Caenorhabditis elegans: one gene and its partner. The protein of the gene in region 1 purifies or fractionates together with the protein of each later gene. This does not show direct contact. Each region holds a gene or a part of one and is shown on either strand. Other genes may lie near its edges.

The links.
Region 2: the proteins of mog-4 (region 1) and F42A8.1 fractionate together in Caenorhabditis elegans (co-fractionation; one large-scale study listed by BioGRID). This does not show direct contact.

The regions. Positions count from the first base shown.
Region 1 is NC_003280.10:14,558,588-14,563,469, reverse strand, and holds the start of mog-4 (putative pre-mRNA-splicing factor ATP-dependent RNA helicase mog-4), read left to right. Parts: upstream 1-1,870; 5' UTR 1,871-1,873; coding exon 1,874-3,196; intron 3,197-3,389; coding exon 3,390-3,505; intron 3,506-3,652; coding exon 3,653-4,118; intron 4,119-4,314; exon of another isoform or gene 4,315-4,484; intron 4,485-4,766; coding exon 4,767-4,882. UniProt on the Caenorhabditis elegans protein: ATP-binding RNA helicase involved in pre-mRNA splicing. Operates during embryogenesis.
Region 2 is NC_003280.10:9,340,669-9,348,306, reverse strand, and holds F42A8.1 (uncharacterized protein), read left to right. Parts: upstream 1-1,716; 5' UTR 1,717-1,741; coding exon 1,742-1,839; intron 1,840-2,365; coding exon 2,366-2,556; intron 2,557-2,944; coding exon 2,945-3,036; intron 3,037-3,891; coding exon 3,892-4,016; intron 4,017-5,032; coding exon 5,033-5,129; intron 5,130-5,664; coding exon 5,665-5,799; intron 5,800-6,374; coding exon 6,375-6,749; 3' UTR 6,750-6,910; downstream 6,911-7,638. Other genes in the region: ttll-12 (Tubulin--tyrosine ligase-like protein 12), read right to left, coding at 7,088-7,316, 7,363-7,560, 7,608-7,638.

The DNA of each region.
Region 1 (4,882 bases):
TTTAGTTTCTCGATTTTAGTGAAAAATTCGAGAAATTCAGTGCAATTTCGAATTAAAATTTAATTTTTCCAAAAATTATGGTACAATATTTCTGAAAACCCACTCAAATATAGAAAAATATATGCTGATTCTGAATTAGTAACATTTGAAACTCAATCTCACGTATTTCATAATTTTTTTTTCGATTTTAATGAAAAATCTAGGAATTCAGTGCAATTTTCGATTTTTTTTTCAAAATATTTTCTCTTAATGTTTTTATAATTTCCAGATATTACGTTGTCGCTGCATTGGAAGATTTCAAGACAAAATTCGAAATAGATGCGAACAAGAAGAAGCTGTTCGAAGTATTAATAAGGAAGGTTAAGCAGCAATAAGTGCTCTTAAGGGCTCAAGTGCCGCAGAAGAAGCCAAAGAAAGTAGGACTGCAAGATCAACTGCTCAATCAGCCACTATTTGAGAAGAAACTACAAGTCAGATCGGTCCGAAGGCAATCAAAAGTTCCAAGCAGAAGAGGTGGAGCTCATGGAAGAGGTTGGAAAGCACAAGTCTGAAGTTCATGAAGCACTCGGCGATTTGGTGGATACAAGATGTGTGATCGAAAATTTCAAAAAAAAATCTGATCAAAATCTTTGAAGCAATTCCACTCAGCAACCAGAATATTGGATTCGTTTCCGAGGATAAGTATGTGGATTTTCTTTAAATTTGAAAATTTAGAAGTTGATTTTCAGGTGCAATGGTGAAGGAGCTTCAACATCGTTCAACGAGGAAGCCGTTTTCATGCCGTACCTGTTCAATTCCGTAAAAAAAAAGTTCGTCTTATTGCAAAGGAGCAAAACTTCGATGGAATTCTTGAGGTGTTACTTATTTTTTAATTTTTAAAAATTAAAAATTTCTAAATTTCCTAGAAATGCGACACGCTTCGTGAGAGGACCCTCGCTGAATTGGGAGCCCGACTCGTGGATCGAAAGTATCAAAACGTTGTGAAACTCTTCGATCGTGCCACGTTGCTCGGTAGCATGATCAAAAGGACGCCGAGAAGAAGTGATAGGATAAGGAGACGACTGCCAAGAAGATCAAGCCATGCTTGTTCTTTCTAATAATGTTCTTTATATTCCGTTCCTGTTCAGATTTTTTATTCCCCCTCCCCATTCGGTTAATGTTCTTCTCTCTCATTTCCTTGTTCAGCATATCTACTTAGTATCCCTCTCTGACGAGTTTTATATTGGTTTTCGAGACAATGAATGTTTTAAACGTTATATTGATGTTATTAAATGTGTTATTCAGTCAATCGGAAGAAAAACTAGATAAAAACAAACTATTCAGCTAAAATTCATCGAAAAAAGAGGAAATTTTCGGTTTTTCTCAGAAAATCAGTGGAAACATAATGAGAAACATAAAATATGCACTTTTTTATTTTTTAAATTACTATTCTGTATCACAAAACATTTTTTTTTCGACTTTTATTCGCTTAAATAATGAGAAAAGCGCTTTTAGCCAGAGCTGATATTAACGAATTGTCGTCAAATAAAATGCGCGTACGCAGAGTACGCAATAGTGTACAAAACTTATTCGCGTTGAATATTCAGTCAGCCAAATGGGACTACTGTAGAAATTTCTTCAGCCACGTTAGCTTTGCCTCCCCGTGTATCCGAAATTCCTCGGGTCTGCAATCCGACGTGACGGTGTTTGCACACAATTGCCGGCGCTTTCGAAAAATAATTTTTATTTATTTATTTTTGTTTTTCATAGATTTTTATGAGTTTCTCAAGGAGTTTCGAATTTTTTCGTGGTTTTCAACTAAAATTTTGTTGAAAAATCATTATTCATCACTTAATAATTTCAATTTTCCTGTAATTATCCAACTTTCCAGATAATGTCCGTGGAACAATTCATCAACGACCAACTACACTCAATCGTGGGTATCAGCGATCGATCAATATGTCAATACGTGCACGCACTAGCAAAAAAGGCGAAAAGCGCGCCGGATTTAGTGGAAAAACTGCGTGACGCCGGAGATTTTCCGATTTCCCCAGCGATCCAGTCATTCGCAGATCAGCTGATGAGTCGAATGCCCCGGCAGGCAACTTCAGCGCGACAACGTGGTCCGACAACAGCAGAGCTTGCCGAGCAGGAGCTAAACCGTCTGAATCGGGCGGTCGGAGTGTTGGAGGATTATTCGGCGAGCTCCACAAAAACCAAAAATGTCAGAAAAAGAAAAGAGAGCAGTAGTGAAGACGATGAAGCTCCGATTAAAGCTAGTAAACCAGGAAAATCTGTGAAACCTTCAAAATCCGACGATTCTGAGTCCGATATAGAGGCGATGGAGGCAAAGCTGGACGCAGATATCGCTGAAAGAGACGCCTTGGCAGCACGAATTAACAAAAAAGAAAAGGATAAAACTCGAAATGTTATGGAGAAAAAGCGAGATGATAACAAGGACAAAGAGGGTTCCTCCATGGACAAACTCCGAGAGGAGTCCAGAAGGCAGTACCTGAAAAAACGAAAAGTCGACAAGCTGGAGGAACTGGAGGCGATAGTTCACGATGATCAAACTCTATTCGCTAGGGAGAAGCTCACGAAACGTGAAAAAGCGGATATGGAGTACCGGAAAAAAGTTCTCGAATACACGAAAGCCCATGGAAAAGCCGGTGACGTCATGAAAATGAAGAGATATCATCTGCCGGACGCCTCAACGAAACAGATCCCTTCACAGTACGTGGAGGATGATGAGGAGGACTTCAGGCCAGGCGGTGATGGTGCAAAGTGGGAAGAGGAGCAGCTGATGGCCTCGATGCTTCACCTGGGAGCCAAGGATGCGAAGCGGAAGGAGCAAGAGTTTGAGCTGTTGCTTGATGAGAAAGTGGACTTTATTCAGGCTCTTCAGATGCCTGGAACCAATGAGGAAGTAGTAGAGACAGAAGCCGAGAAAAAGAAAATGTCAATTGAAGAAACGAGAAAGTCGTTGCCGGTCTACGCATTCCGTGATGCTTTCATCGAAGCTGTTAAAGAGCATCAAGTGCTCATTATCGAGGGAGAAACCGGATCGGGAAAGACGACACAGCTACCACAGTATCTTTATGAAGCTGGATTTTGTGAAGGTGGGAAGCGTATCGGATGTACGCAGCCGAGACGTGTCGCCGCAATGTCGGTTGCCGCTAGAGTTGCTGATGAAGTTGGATGCAAGCTGGGCACTCAGGTTGGGTGGTTTTTGGAAATTGGCGAAAATAAACTAAGTTTCATTCTAGTCGGAAAATTCCAAAATTTAGAAAAAAAAACTGGAAGTTAAAAAAATTTGGGCAATTCTTTGCCGCTTCTAAAAATTTTTAAACTTGTAAAAAAACGAGGAAAACAGATTCCGATTTTTCTTTCGAAACGCTTCCATTTTCCAGGTCGGCTACAGTATTCGTTTCGAGGATTGCACATCGGAGAAGACTGTCCTCAAATACATGACAGACGGAATGCTGCTCAGAGAGTTTCTCAACGAACCCGATTTGGCTAGTTATAGGTAATTTTTAGAACATTTACAAAAACAGCAAAAAAACCAAACATTCAGGATTTTTGTTTTTAATTAAGAAAAAAATCGATCGCTCTTAAATTTTAATCAATACTTCGAATAAACCCAAAAAAAAACGAAAAAAAATCCTGTTTCCAGTGTAATGATGATTGACGAGGCTCACGAACGTACTCTACACACGGATATTCTATTCGGTTTAGTCAAAGATATTGCAAGATTCCGAAAGGATTTGAAGCTTCTCATCTCTTCTGCAACACTTGACGCTGAAAAGTTCTCCAGTTTCTTCGACGACGCTCCGATTTTCCGAATTCCGGGACGCAGATTCCCGGTGGACATTTACTATACACAGGCTCCCGAAGCGGACTACGTCGACGCGGCTATCGTCACAATTATGCAGATTCACTTGACCCAGCCACTTCCCGGCGATATTTTGGTATTTCTGACTGGTCAGGAAGAAATCGAAACTGTACAGGAAGCACTTATGGAACGGTCGAAAGCACTGGGATCGAAGATTAAGGAGCTTATTCCGCTGCCGGTTTATGCGAATTTGCCCAGTGATTTGCAGGCGAAGATTTTCGAGCCAACGCCGAAAGATGCGAGAAAGGTAGATTTTTCTTACAAATTTTTTCCAAAAAAAAATCCGAGAAAAATCTACAAAATTTCAGGCAAAAACTGTTTCATTTTATTCCTAACTAGTTTTTTAGCAAACGTTTAGATTTAACAAAACTGAACAAATTTGAAGTTTTCCAATTTAAAAAATAAATGTTTCGGAAAGTTTATTGAAAAATCTGAAATTGCTATCCTCTCGTATCTGCAAAAAAAACACTTTAAAAAATGCTCTGTTCTTTGAAAATTTCTAAACTGAAAAATTTGAAATTTCTGAAAATTGTGATAATTTTATAAAATTTTATAGAAAATGTAAGCATTCCAGAAAAATATCAAAAATTTCGAGAAAATTCTGAAAAAATCCAGAAATATTAACAGAAAAAAAATCTTTTGAAACATCTGAAAATTAAAATAAATTGAATTTACATTTTTTTTTTTGGGATTTCCTTAAAATCACTATGAATTTACCACTAAATTTTTTGCAAAAAATTATTTTTTTAATTTCAAAGAAAAAGCAAAGAATTTTAAAATATCAAAAAGTCCAAATTTGGTTCGGTGAATTTTTAAAATAACATTTTCAAGATAATTTTAAGTTAATCAAAACATTCCACGCATTTCTAGTTTCCCAAATTTCTCTAAATTTCAGGTGGTCCTAGCAACTAACATTGCTGAAACTTCAGTCACAATTGATGGTATCAACTATGTAATTGATCCAGGATTCTCGAAACAAAACTCATTTGATGCACGAAGTGGTGTTGAACA
Region 2 (7,638 bases), 5.2 Mb from region 1:
TATCTTTGAATCAGTGTAACTCAATAAATCCTTGCTACTTTGTAATGAAAATTGATGCAAAGGGAAGAAAAAATATTTCTAATAGTTTTGTTTGTTGAACATTTGTTTTCTAGAACTATAGTTTTCGAGATACGTCAGTTTGAAGATACGCAATTTTGCGAGTTTTAGAAGATATTGCAAATGAATATAACCATTTTTGTACGTCAACATATTGTCTCACTTCTTTCTCTATAATTTTAACGGATTTCTCATGAACAAAAATGAAGTCGAGTAGTCAATGAGATTTCAACTCTTTCCTTTTTCCAATTTCCCCATCTCACTTCCGATCTCTCCGGAAACCTTTTCATCAGACTCTCCTGTCCATTGATAAATGACAAGTTGATTACACTGTTTTATTTATTGTAAATAAATCAACCTGATTGTTTATTTTCTAATGTTGTCCTATTTATTTTTTAAAGTGTCAGCAATCATTTCCTGCAAATAAGAAGACGTCAGTGTGTCTCAGAGAACGTTTTTTTCTGAATTGAATTTCATCTCGTCAGTGAACTACTGACACCTACACAACAAAATGTTGTCACGGTATATGTAGGTGGGCGGCAATTAGCATTTCGACCGGAGGAGAAACGGTTTCAAATATGCGTTTGGATGAAATAAGTGTCTAGGAATTTTTGGATGAATAATTGAGAACTCATATGTGAAAATCGAGGTGAGTTTTTGATGAAGAAGGCAGAGAATATATACAAATTAAAAAAACACACACATTTTCAAAGATGGATTATTTTGGAAATCCCATACTACAGCAGTAAGCCACATTCAGATTGAGATACGAGGCGCGTGTTCGGAGTGATCCTTCCACTGGAAAACGTGAAATTTCTTACAGGACTGATTGTGACGTCATATCCAAAAAGTTAGATTATCATATTTTCCAGAGCTCAAACGAGTCGAATGTGATATTGTGATAGAAAATGATATGCCGTTACTCCCAGTTGCTCAATTTTGGCAACTAATTTCTTTTTGGAATAGATGGAATCTCGGAAATTTCCGTTTTCTCAAAAGTACGTTCAATTTGAAGTGCGCTTAAATTTAATTCTTCACAGTAGAAAAGCTGTATCATACCGTAATTCAGAGGTGGCAGGCAGGTCCTAACTATAAGTTTTCATTTGCCCATCCAGTTTTATAGAGTGATGTTTTGAATAAGTGAGTAGCTCTAGTACGAATTGATAACTTTGAAAGGCATCATCCATAATTTTTGGGCTCCCTCAGCTTAGAATGTTTACCGAATTGTTTTGAACTATTTGGAAAATCTATAAATCTATTTTGCACCATCTGACAGCTTGAAAACTCATAGACCAATACACTGTATATTTTTAGCTCAATTTCCGGTAGTTTCCCCTCCTACACGCACTTTCACTGAAATGGTCATTTATGGTGTTCTTTCCTCCAGAAAACTTGTAATTTATGAGATATTTGAATAACAAAACCGGCGTAACTATGATGTATATCCCAATTCTTTTCCGCTTTTTCTTCATCTTAAAACAAACATTCAAGAGCGAAAAGGTGTTCCTAGAGCTCCGCCCACTTGAAGAACAATTGTCCATTTTCGGACGGAAAAGGGGAGAGAAAAGATGAAAAAAGTGAAAAAGAGAAAGAAGATGTGGGGGAGGAAGTGGGAGGAGCCTAGGAGCTACTATAAAAATCACCGAAAGCGGGGGAATTAGAGACAAAAGAAATTTTGATGAAAATGCAGAACAACTTGGTTCTACTTATCCTCTCGATTCTTTCAATTTTCGAGGTTTCGGCCTATTCAAATGTCGAAAAAGGAGCTGCAGCTAGAGCTAGGTTTGTTTTATTTTTTAAAGGTTCAGTGTATCCAAAATTTTCGAAAAATTAATCCTTATTAGTCTCAAACCTTACGATTTTCGTAGCAAATTTTTTTATTCTCAAAAAATTTGTTTTTGAAAGTCATATGGCTTCCATGGCTTCTAAATATGCCTTTTTTTGCCTACGTGCCTGCCTATGCCTATTTTTTATTTGGCATTAATTATAAAAATTTTTCTGGAGGCACGTATAAAACATTAAACCTCTAGTATCATGGTGGTTCAATTTCAGAGCCAAACTTCTGAGATTAGATATGAGGAATCATTTTTTCTAACGTATACATTGTATACATACTATACATAACAACAAAAAATCAAAAATTTCAAAATCCACAACCTAAATGTCTCACCGTTCCCCTTGTATTCCTTATCATCTTGTCAAGTTCATCTCATTGAACAAGACAACTAGCTACTAGTATCTATGGTTCTCAACGAAACTGAAACCAATTGATAAGAACCGGTTTTCAAAAAAAAAACTCCTTTTGCAGATGTTGGACAAGCGGGAACGGACGGCCAGCTCAATGGTGGCAGGAAGGAGACCAAGTGACACGTGGAAAATACTTTTATGAGTGTAGACGTGGACAGTTGGAGCCACTTGGATGTCTGTCAAGCACAGAGGAAAAGATTCCACTTGGACATACTTTCCAACAAGATAGATATGAGTTCATTTGCCAACTTGGTTAGTTTCGAGCATGGAAATTATACTGATCTGGGCAACTAGGCTTCTGAGAATACTATAAATTTTCAGTTGGAATTAAATTCAACTTTTTATTAGCTAGTTCAAATTCTTAATACCTACTACTCAGAATACCTAGTACTGTTTCCGTAACTTTTGGAGTCTTCGAGTTCACGACAGTGTTAAGAATAACTAACTTTCAAATTGTTAAAATATTTTAAAAGTAGGTATTCTCAAAATCGTGTCCATTCAAAAAAAAAACCATTTCTAATGTCTCTCATTCAACATCTTTTGTCGATTTGATCTTCTTTTTCCCCATATCATTGAGTACCCACATCTGATTTTGTAGAAAACGTATCAAATCTCCTTTTTTACGATTACTCTTTATCAGGAAGCGACGGTTATATCGAATTCGGCTACAGCGCATGTGTCGGCACAGATGGACGTACCTATCAAAAAGGAGAGACTTGGACCGATGCCAAGGTAAGAATGAGAGGAAAGTGAAAGATATTAAAACATGTGAAGAAAGTTGCAACATGTATCACATCCGGTGGGCGGACACACACAGTAGGGGGTTCTGCAATTTTTCTATTAACTTTTTAGTTGCCACTAAAAAAAAACGTTGATCAAAGTTTCAACGAAAGCTATAACATAGTTTTTGAACTGACCCAATTTTACTTTCGAAACTTCACTAATTTGATTCCAAACGAAAACTTTTTGACCTACAAATTCAAAAAGTGGAAGGCATAGTTTGACAATGCCGAGAAAAATCGCTGAAAATGTGGCACAATAATTAGAGATGAACTTTGAAAGTGTGATTTATTAAATTTAAATTGAGAGCGTGTTCGATGCAAGACTCATGCTTTCGTGCTCACAAAATTAAAATATTGTTAATCTACTTAGGAAGCACAAACCAATAGTTTCCAATAAAAACAAGTAGGCTTAAGGTAGGCACACAAACAGGTACTCTGATCGCCGATGTGCTTGCCCACAGTGATACCTAAAGTAAGTATAAGCTTGTTTTCTAGAGATCCCACATCCCATAGGTGCTATAGGCATAGGACAGATAACCGGCCTGATAATGTTTCTGATCCTTTGATCATTAAATGAAAAGAAGACATAATCGAATTGGTTTAGAAACCGAAAATTGTGTAGAGAAATTTTGAAATTTTGGTAGCTAATTTTCAATTTAATTTTAAACAGTTTGAGCAAGATCTAGTAAATTGATATTTAATAAAATAGAACAGACCCATTTGTCTTCAATCATAGTAGTATTCCAAGTTCAACTTTGACCACAACCCCCTCTACCCCATTCAACCACAAAAATACCTCTTCCAGAACACTTACTACTACCGTTGCCGTGACGATGGTCGTGTTGTCAAAACGACAATTGAAGGATGCATTGCCCATGATAAGCAACGACGTGTCCCACTTGGTCAGACAGACGATTTCAACGGATACACGTGAGTTCGCTGCCCCTAAATTTCGCTCAATGGCTTATCTCCGCTTATCCGTTGTTTTTACCGACATGGCGCCGCCAAGAAAAGTGTAAATGATAGGGTGACATATGATTTGAAGGCCACCCGAAATTTGAACACACGGGAGACAATATGAAGTGACACCGGTCAGACGGTTTAGCAGAAAAACGAAAAGGCAAAGAGTGGTGAAAGACTAAAGAATGAGTTTAAATAGATAGTGATAGAGATTGACTGATAGGGTTTTGAAAGATTGAAAGTGATAGATTGGATCTAAGGATCAAAATTGAACTGAAACCCAGATTACCTAATTGAATTTAAACTAATAGGAAAACTAGGGGACATTAAAACTGATGTGACAGCATTGTCAATTCAAGAATTTCCAACACTAGGTGAATCTGGCAGGTAGGCAAGAGTTACACGTGCCTGCCTTCGTTTCTGACGAATGCTTATTTCCTATTTGAGCGTAAAGTTAAGGAATTGACGGTTTCACACTATTTAAAACACTGAAGCTTGAAATCTAATCTTTGAATGCAAGAGATTGGCGGTTTCGCAGTAGGTACGAGGTAGGCGTAGGTTTTTCTGAAATAAGACATGTGGACTAGTGCTATCGAACGTATCATAATCTAAATTACAGTACTCTCGGGTACATTTTCGGTGATGAAAGATCAAAAATGATAATTCAAATCCTGTTTTTATGTCCTTTCAATGTTTTCATAGCACTTGGAAATTAATTGATATCCTGCAACCTTCAAATCCACCGTAATCCTATTTTCTCCCAAGTTGTATTTTAACAACTTTTTTAGTTTTTTTTTTCATTGATAAGGGCGACGGATATGGCGAGATTATGTGATAAAGTGACAAAAAAAACGGGTCACTACGAAAATGCACTCTTTTATATCTTATCGGTTGGTGTCTACGAGATACTTGAACTTTTGCGGTAGCAACTTTTTTTTTTAAGTTGAGACTTTGAATTCTGAAGAGTATGGAAAAAATATTTTCAGTTATAAATGCCAACAAAAAACTACTGGAGTCGTTCAAATGTGCAGTGTTGGATGTATTCATGAGGGAACTCGATACACTGTTGGACAACAATACAGAGTGAGTTTTACCAATGAGTTTGGGTGGACAAGCCTTCATGACTCGCCTACCACCTATTTATATTTTTTCATAGGCCGGCGTAGGTCTTCTGAAATGTAGGTAGATATTTTTGTGCCTACTGGGATCGGGATCTACCAAGCCCAATGCATCTGTCAAAATAATTATTTCCTAGTAATTTGAAACGAAAAAAAACGAAGGCGCCGAAACTTCTAGAACTTTTCTCTTTTTTTTGAATTTCATTTCATCCATTATCAATCATTTCTCCCGGAAGTCTTCCAAACCCAATTTGAACCTTCTAAACATGTTCAAATCAACATTAAATCAACTTGTCCAAGGGCGTGCCCCTGCAAAATCCTGCGATTTTTGAACATCAAACTTTTCACGAAAAAAAAGTTCTGAAGATGAAAATGATAACAACAAATCCTAATAGGAAGTACATACCTTAAAAATAAGTTTTGAAAAAAAACAGAAAAAAAACAGATTGATGAAATAGATAACATCATCTTCTTATTAACTTGTATATTCTCGTTTTCAGGACGGAGACTACCTCTTCTATTGCAAGTTGCAAGGTGGAAAGTGTACGAAGCAGTGCATCGGATGTGTTGCTGGTGGACAAGACTTGTATGATGGACAACGGTACAAAAGAGATGGAACCACTTATCAGTGCGAGGTATGTTTCCGGTCAATGACTGTACCAGTGGGGACAGGAATCAGTTATTGGATGCTTTTTTTCTGGACAATAGGTTTAGACTGTTAGGGTACAAAACACATACAACAGTGAACGTTCAATGTGAAAAAGAGAAAGAGGAGAACGAGGTAATTGGGAAACATGCAAAAGAAGGTGATGAGAATGAGAAAAAATAGAACGGGAGATCAATGGAACAGTTCTGAAATTGAAGTTTTCAAATATGAAAATGATACATTAAGGAACTAAGAATTAGGTGTCCCGAAATGAATCCAGACGTTAGGAAAATCTCTACTTTGGCAGCTCATATCTCGGTTAATTTCAAATATTTCAAAAAAGTAAATAACATCAAAACTGTAGAAAAAGGACTAATCTGCATATTGTCAGTTGACAATTTTTGATAAATTTGGTAATTTACCAAAACTGTGACTGAAAATTTTGAAAAATCTGAAATGTTTTGTCATTTTGAACTATAATAAGTTTATTTAAACTAAATCCCTACTGACTCTTGGAAATTAAATATAATATGTACATCCAAATATTCAACTTATAATTTCCAGATCCGTCCAGGAAAACGAAGCCACCGTGCCGTCGGATGCTCGATTGTTGAAAATGGTCGTGACATTAACAAGGTGATCGGATGTAGATGGTATGAGCAGAACCCAGACTGGAAGATCGAGAAGACCTGCGAAACTGACGGAGATAACAAGACAAAGGTCACCACAGTTGGATGCATCTATAAATACAAGGGATTCGATCGAATTTTCCTTGAGCCAGGAAAGTACACAATTTGGAATCTTCCAAAACAAAAGGATTCATCAGTTGGACTTGCTTGCCGAAAGACTGCTGACGGTGCCGAGTTGGTGATCTTCGATGTGGCACAGTTGGAAAGGAATACGTCTGGACTTAAGTACGATTTGCCACGTGGCAAATAATCACGTTGTTTTGACTAGGTGACCACAGCGAGCTTTCTCTTGTTATTGTACCCCCGAGAATACGTGTAATTTTGTTGAAATGTCGTGAGAAATAACCTAATAATTGTGCTTCTTCTATTTCTTTTCTGAAGTTTGATAATAAATAAAGAATAACTATATTCATAAAGGAATGCAAATTTTATATAAAGAAAAGAGGATCATAAAATTTCCACTGGAATACGAGAAAACACCGATGAAAACGTGAACACGGTGAAGTTTCAGTGCCGAAAATAGAATAAGTTAACAAAAAATAATATAACAATCGTAATATGGAAGAAAAAACAAAAAAGAACACGAAATTAGATTGGTGTGACTTTGGTTGGATCGATTTCATCCAGGAAAAGCGTCTCAAAAACAGTGTCAGCAAAATCTGGATAATACTGGCATGCTCGAGTGGTGTCCGGCATGAAATTAATCTCGAGGAGAGTGGATTTGATGACGTCATTGTCTCCGTGTTGAAGCATAATATCAACACCGTACATTGCACGGGATTGGACATTTGGAGCAACTCCTCGTGGAGCTTCTTCTCTGAAAATGCAAACATTAAGATATTTCTAAACAAAACGAAACTTACTTTGCAGCTGCTTCGATTGCCTTGCGAATGGTTAAATTGATATCTTTCTGTACTTCACTCCATTGAATCCTCGGATAAGCTTTTTCAATAGTTTCAATAAAGTTTTCGCATTTCATTTGAAGAATTTTCTCTTTGTCCAAATAATTGAATACAGTGAAATGAGTCTCCACATCCTCGAAGTTAGATAAACTGAATTCGCTGAAAAATGTAAACATTAACTTTGAATTCTAACGGTGATAACTAACTTAATAGCGAATCGAATCCAGAATCTATTGT